Linked DNA regions of Arabidopsis thaliana. The protein of the gene in region 1 interacts with the protein of each later gene in a pairwise test. Each region holds a gene or a part of one and is shown in the gene's direction. Other genes may lie near its edges.

Evidence for each region.
Region 2: the proteins of AGL81 (region 1) and GATA3 interact in a two-hybrid assay, tested with the Arabidopsis thaliana proteins (one large-scale study listed by BioGRID).

The regions. Positions count from the first base shown.
Region 1 is NC_003076.8:15,905,005-15,908,510, forward strand, and holds AGL81 (AGAMOUS-like 81), read left to right. Parts: upstream 1-1,870; coding exon 1,871-2,938; downstream 2,939-3,506. Other genes in the region: RPL5B (ribosomal protein L5 B), read left to right, coding at 70-181. UniProt on the Arabidopsis thaliana protein: Probable transcription factor that may function in the maintenance of the proper function of the central cell in pollen tube attraction.
Region 2 is NC_003075.7:16,551,083-16,555,415, forward strand, and holds GATA3 (GATA transcription factor 3), read left to right. Parts: upstream 1-2,062; 5' UTR 2,063-2,397; exon of another isoform or gene 2,398-2,612; 5' UTR 2,613-2,617; coding exon 2,618-2,899; intron 2,900-3,000; coding exon 3,001-3,528; 3' UTR 3,529-3,790; downstream 3,791-4,333. UniProt on the Arabidopsis thaliana protein: Transcriptional activator that specifically binds 5'-GATA-3' or 5'-GAT-3' motifs within gene promoters. May be involved in the regulation of some light-responsive genes.

The DNA.
Region 1 (3,506 bases):
AATCTTTCTTGTTGTGATTGGTTTGTCTCACTGGGTTCTTGATTGATTGTGTGATATTAAACAAAACAGGTACAACTTGAAGAAACTGACTTACGAAGAGAGGAAGAACAAGTTGATCGAGAGAGTGAAGGCATTAAACGGAGCAGGTGGTGATGATGATGATGAGGATGATGAAGAGTAAATCACCAATCAAGCCTTCTTTGTCTCATGCCTCTAGTAGCTTTTTACTTATTTATTTTCAGACTAAAACACTCAGTTTTTGTTTTCACATTTTAGTTGCGTTTGAAGATTTTGAATTCGAGGATATGTTTTGTTTGAAGAATTTATTATCATCTCTTATTACACCATCGTCATTTTCAGGAATTTGCCTGTCAATAGTTAGATTTTATGCGTAGTGTGGTTTTAGTGCTTGTGGAAAATGGGGATTCTTGAAGTAATGAAAGTGATCATTAGTGATGTCTTCTGATCGGGTGCTTGATACAAATTCTAACTTGATGTTACTTAATAGAAAAGATTATCTTCGTAAAGTACATGTATGTGCTATCACCAAAAATGTTCAACAACTCTAGCTTGATTGCTTTGCTTGTTACTTGCTAGTTGCTACTGTATTGCATTGCTCTTTTGAGCTTCCTCAAAGTTGCCTGTTTAATTCTTATGCTTCTGTCTGTAGAGTTTGTAGCATGTAAAGGACTTATCTCAGACGCTTGTCACATGTAAAGTTTGATTGTGCCGCTTGAGCAATTGAGCCATATGCGTCTTATATCTCGCTGTCTTCCTCCAAAACCATCGGTTCAATTATGGCTGTGCATATATATATGATATTCTTTATTTGAAGAATTTATTATCGCTTATATCAACATATACACATGAAGACTCAATAATTAAGTGATATTTTTTGTCACTATTTACACAGTAAAAATACACATGTTACTGTACTATCCTTATCTTACATCAAATCCCAATACTAAACTTTCCAAAATGGATCTGCACATTTTAAGTGTTACAAACTCATGTGTATCAATCATAATCACTCTCTGAAAGTTCAACAACGACTTCACAATAAGCAGAGCATCTCCTTAATCTCAAGAGTTCCACTGATGATTAGAGCATAAACTCTTATTCATTCTCTCACAACCCAAACGCAGCATAAACTTCTTTACTAGTTACATTTCCGCCCTAACTCCGCTTATCTATCTTTTCACAACCAATACAACTCACAGTCACACAACACTGCAACTCTCTTAGCTTTCTCAGCCACATATCAACAAGATAAAACCTAATTCTTTCTCTCAAGCTGCACAGAATCAGCTGCTTCTTACTTCGCGTCTCATATGGTCGGAGTCCCGTACAACACAGCCAGAAACAACGGAACAGGGGATGCTCTGTTTCTGAGAAACAATGAAACAGGGGATGCTCTGTTTTTGAGCAACAATGAGTATAACTACTTTAACAACTTGACCGGAGCGTTGACTCGCAAATCTATATGGACAAGCAAATCTTTCCTTTTTATAGTAGATCTTCTTATTAATTAAGAGAGAGTGAAAGAAAAGGAAAAAACTAACTATTTCCTTTTTATCAATCCTTAACGGCTAAATTACACAAAATCTATGCAAAGATATCGAAATCAAATCTTCACAAGATTTTTGTTTTACCGATTAGAAGAGTGACAAAACTAAAATAAAAACGCATTTTTTTCTAACCCTAAGGACCAAATTTTCTATTTCACAAAGTTGTCTCACTCACTTTCATATTCTTCATCATCTTCTTAGGGTTTCCTAAACCTAATTCGTAGTTTCACTCTCTCAATTTCATTCGTCTTCGTGCTTTCAATTACTAGAAACAAAAAAACAGAGAGATAATCAACAAGAAGATGGCCATTCGATCTTTACCTTCTTCCTCTCGCTGTTCCTCTTCTTCTTCTTCTTCTTCTTATTCACTCGCTTCAACGAGTCTAAGCAATAGACTTGAGACCATCTTCAAGAAAGCTTCAGAGCTTTGCACTCTCTGTGATATCGAAGCATGCGTCATCTATTACGGACCAGACGGAGAACTCAAGACATGGCCTCCGGAGCGAGAGAAAGTGGAAGACATCGCTCTCAGGTATAGTCAATTAAACGAAGCCTTGAGAAGGAAGAAAAGTGTTACTCTTTATGACTTCCTGAACAAGAAGAAGGACAAGACGAACTTGGAGAAGAAAGCAAAGATAACGGACAATGATGACTTGAAGACTTGTCTGAAGAACGTGAATATTTTAAAGTATCCACTCGCTGATCATTACTCTCCCGACCAAGTTTCTCAACTGATTCAGTCCTTAGAACCTCATGTCTCTAAAGTCCGAGAAAGGATTCGTTTTGTTGAGTCGCAGAAACACAAGGAGACAAAACCGGATCATCAGAGTTTAGCATCATCCTCTCTGAATCATCAGACCCAATCTTTGAACCCTAGCCAGTTTTCGCTGTTTATGTATAACCATGGAGACAATACTCTGTCTCAGATCCCAGTCTCTGCATCAAATTTCAATCAGGATTATTTCTCAGCGTTACTTGAACAATCTGAGTTGAAGAGTCAGATAATGAAGCAGGATCTTTGTGGTTATGAGCAGAACATGTGCATGAGTAACCATGGAGATGCTACGCTCTCTCAAATCCCACTCTCTGCATCAAATCTCAATCAAGATTTCTCAGCCTTACTACAAGACGAATCTGGCTTGATGCAACAGGAGCTTTGTGGTTATGATCAGAACATGTTTATGAACAACAACAACTTTCAACATTCTTTTGTCTCAAACACACAAGATCACTCTGCTCCTGTGGTACAAGAATCTGTGAACAACAACTATGGGTTGATGCCGCATGTTCCTTGTGGTTATGATCAGAACCTGTTCACGAGTGATATTACCAACAACAACCTTCTTATCAACAACTCGATGTTTCTCTGATAACAAAGCTCATGTCAAGAGAGTGTGAAACTGTTTTTTCATCTTCAAGAATTTTAATATGTTTGTTGTGGATGTTTTATTTTGCTAAGTATTGCATAACGCATAATGTTTTCTTGTATCAAGCTATATTTTACTATGTGAACGTCCAATTTATCAAGTGAATATATATTCCACCGCATCAAAAAGTTATCAATTATTTGGTATATAGCTTCGTGAAAATATCAAACCAAATCACTTATTTTAAGAAAAGCACAAAAAGGATTAAGGATAATAGAAGAACAGTGTCCTAACTTAAAGCTTCAGAGTCCATATTATCACTCCATATTTAGGGACACATATTTCAACTTTTTACACTCCACCATAGTTAGGTATGTGAGCCTAACAAAGTTCTCAATCCACAAAGGAACTTCCTCGATCCCTGTTTGGTTTAGACAGAGACATGAGATGTTGCTTGAGATATCTGGAAAACTCTTCAACTTTGAACATCCACTAAGATCAATTCAGATATTTGAAGTTAGCACCAGTGGGAAGAGACTCTACATTTTTCCTTTTCATCAATTCTAAAAGT
Region 2 (4,333 bases), on another chromosome or scaffold:
TGATTACAGGACTTGAAACTCTCTCCCATTTTCTTGACGTCAAAAATGATAAAAACTACTCCATGTTTTATAAAAGATAAGAAAAGGGAAAGAGTGATGATGATGATGCGTCGTGAATCGACGAATAAGAGGAAAATGTGACACGTTCTCTTTTCCCCCATTACGCTCTCGTCACTCCTCACCAGCCTGCTCCCTTTTCAAACTTTTCTGTTTTCCCCCTAATTTTACGAAAATCAAAATAAGTTAAAATGGAATATATACCAACTTTCAAAATAAAAAATCTTCAAAACATATCAATGTGTATATAGCGACACGAGTATAAAGTCCCACACACACAATAAACTAAGGTTGGCAGAAAAAAATATACCACCAAACTAAGTGATCGTAACTACTCTTTCGAAAAAACCAAACCCTAATCTTGTTTTAAGACTAAGACCAATTATACTAAAAAGGAAAGATTTCATAATTGGAAGGAAAGTAGTATACTTTGATAGTTATTAAAAATAAAAATAAAATGTTCAAAAGATTTGGCTATAGTGGTTGCTTTGGTGAACTCCACTCCAACGGTGGTTTGCACCATCTCCATTCCCATCACTACCAAAAACCCACACTTCTTTTTTTTTTTCTTTCTTTGCGTAATGTGGGTTAAAAGGAACTTTATTTATGCTCTTGTTTTTGGGTGTTTGAATCGAATTTGAAATCAACATTTGTTTTTATTTTATTTTATTTATAAAAAATTTGTGTGTTTGGAAAGTTGTAAAAGGTTCAAGGGGTTTCGGTAGAGATAATCTTAATTTGGTTTTTAACACATCGACTTAATCCAAATTGACATCTCTAATAGGATTCAGATATTATTATATCTATCCTGTAATTTTCCATAAAATGTAATCAATATGAGATTTGGTATTAGGGTATGAACTTAATGTATCTTATCGGAAAAATGTTTTCTCCTTTGGGTTACCTAATCTCATATCTAATGCCAAAAATAGCATAACATAGAAGATTGGCTAGATCATATGTGGACATCACCGACTGCATGGCAATGTTTGTTTTATAATCGCGTAATACTTGTTTGTCATTTGCCAGTTCTCATAACAAATGCGAAAATAATCTTATATATCCTTGGTAATGCATGTAAAAATTAATTTTGCTTCATGAATTATTTTATATTCTTAAATTCATGACTGAATGAAATTTCTTATCTATATTCAGACGCAGTATATGGGACATCTAACTCAATTTTAAGATTCTAGATTGGATGATTTTATGTTGTTTGACAAAAAAAATAAAAAAATTGGATGCTTTCTATAAATTTCATGCTTTGTATTTTATTAAATTTTGAGCTATTATTGTATTAGTATAGAATTGAGCTATTATTGGATTGTTCTTATCACTTTGTTAATTTCATTTGGTCCTTTAGTTAGATATCAAAATTTTTAAAATTTTCAAAAAAGATCACAGGTTTAATCGGTGACTTTCAATAATACTAGTTTTAACACGACAAGCAAAATATTGTGCATGTATACTATTAAATTGTTAATGTTAGTACTATGAAATAACAAATTCATCACCATTGTAAAACTTAATGTTTCAACATTTCCTAAGAAGAAATGGTCAACCCTTTTGACAAGACAAGCTAAATTGGCATGGACAAGGAACACAGCATCATGATATAACCCTTCACAATAATTATAATAAAAACAATCAAATTTGTATTGAATAATGCGAAACAGACCTGACTTATCAATATGTGACGAAGGATAAGCCCACGCCAAAAACATCCACGTAAAGAACTCATTGATTAGGTCCAAAGAAATTTGGAGAAAATAAAACAAATCCTGACGTGAAAATAAAAAGAAATCATCACTTTTTTTTATCTCTTTTATTTTCTTCTAAATACAAAAATTGAATAATCAATTAATTTTTCATGTATGCAAACAATTTCTTAACAAGTCTTGTGAGCTTTAAATGAAATATAGAGGCGAGTGGATTAGACTTGATCCTGATCTTTTATTAAGCTGATCCATATTTTACATTGAAATAAAGGACACACCGTTTAACACGAAAATGAAGAGACAAATAAAGAAGAGGAAAAGCATTGATTCTGAAATACCAATATAGTATCATTCGTGAAAGAAGATTTTGTAATATTCCACAAACTTAGAAATTAGGGGAAAAGAAAACAAAAAAAAAAGATAGGAAAAAAGAGCTTTAACTTTTGGAATTGGAAGAAGCACAAACACACACAAAAAAAAAGTCTCTGTTTTACCTTTTAACCCCTTCAAGAATCCTCCTTTAAGTTCAGTGCCCTCTTACTTTTCTCTTATCGGAATATCTCTCTTCCTCTGTTTCTTCGCCATTCTCTCAGCTTTTCTCCTTCTTCTTCGTCTTTGTCAGGTAAAGAGATACGATGAGCATATCCCACATACCTCTCTCCTCTTCTCATCTTTTTAGTTTCTCGAAAGTTTGCATGCGCCGACTTTGTTATAGGTTATAAACTTTAGTTTTAAGCCTATTTTCGTATGTTTATGGTTGTTGTAATAGTTGAGAATTCAGAGTATGTCAAGTGAAACTTAAAAAGAATTCTATATGTATGTGTGTATGTGTTAAAGAGTGAATGGAGCTGTGGACAGAAGCTAGAGCCTTAAAGGCAAGTCTAAGAGGAGAATCTACTATATCTCTCAAACATCACCAAGTGATTGTGTCGGAAGATTTAAGCCGAACTTCTTCCTTGCCGGAAGATTTCTCCGTTGAGTGTTTCCTCGATTTCTCAGAAGGTCAAAAAGAAGAAGAAGAAGAAGTTGTCTCTGTTTCTTCTTCACAAGAGCAAGAAGAACAAGAACATGATTGTGTCTTTAGTTCACAACCTTGCATCTTTGATCAACTTCCTTCTTTGCCGGTAAATTTCTAAACTTCTTTATACCTTTTCTTTCTCTTCTTATAATCGAAAGATTTTAAGTTATATTTTTCTTGATTTCTTTTTTTTTGGGATATTTTTAGGATGAAGATGTGGAAGAGCTTGAATGGGTATCTCGTGTTGTGGATGATTGTTCATCACCAGAAGTTTCACTTCTCTTAACACAAACACATAAAACCAAACCAAGCTTCTCAAGAATTCCGGTTAAACCAAGAACCAAACGGTCTCGGAACAGTTTAACCGGTAGTCGTGTTTGGCCACTCGTTTCAACCAATCATCAACATGCAGCAACAGAGCAGTTGAGGAAGAAGAAACAAGAAACTGTCCTTGTGTTTCAACGAAGATGCAGCCATTGTGGCACAAACAACACACCACAGTGGAGAACCGGTCCGGTCGGTCCAAAAACCTTATGTAATGCATGTGGAGTCCGGTTTAAGTCTGGTAGGCTCTGCCCGGAATACAGACCGGCGGATAGTCCGACGTTCTCGAATGAGATTCACTCAAATCTTCATAGGAAGGTTCTGGAATTAAGAAAGAGTAAAGAGTTGGGTGAAGAAACAGGTGAAGCTAGTACTAAATCAGACCCAGTCAAATTTGGCAGCAAGTGGTAGATAAGACTTAGGTAAAACCTACTTTTTGTAACATTATCTGTAGTGTTGTAATTTAACAACTTGCTTCTTAACATTTTGAAACTGTTTCAGGAACTAGTCTTAAGTAAACAATGGTTTTCTATAAACAAAATTAATGTGTGTTTTTAATGATGTAAGACCACCACCACCACTACTAGTACTTGGAATGATTTTGGTCCATGTGTAGTGGCTTAAATAGACTTTTTGAGTAAACAAAATGCCAAATGGAAGAATCATCTTGAAAACTCCAACATTACTATATAGTATATATATTATTGATAAATCTTGAGATTCGACATATTTATTTGATAATCGATGCAAGCATAATTAATTTAGACATTTATTCAGCAAAAAAAAAAATTAGGTATGTAATTAATTTATACATATCGAATTACTAAAGGTTAATTTTCAGGCTAATCGTAGATAAACGATTTCGTTAAATCCCCATGAAAGTAAATTTAGGCAAATGTATGATGCTATGTCTGCCGCATAATTGTTTAATCTCACCATTTGCATATCAATCTTTAAGGGAAACATCCTTTTAATGTGTTTATGTGGCCTTGTCTCCGTTTTATTGCTACTTTGTGTCATACTCAAAATAAGTTGACTATAAAGCTACATGTATCTACACAAAAAGAGAGTTTATTTAGTATGCTTGCTTGGGAATAAGCAGGAGACAAAAGAAAACATCCAAGTTAAAACATGAAGCAGCAAAAGAGAGTGTTCATCCACAAAATGTGAGAGGTTTCTTAGCATATAAAGATATTGATATAAATCTAATCATTCT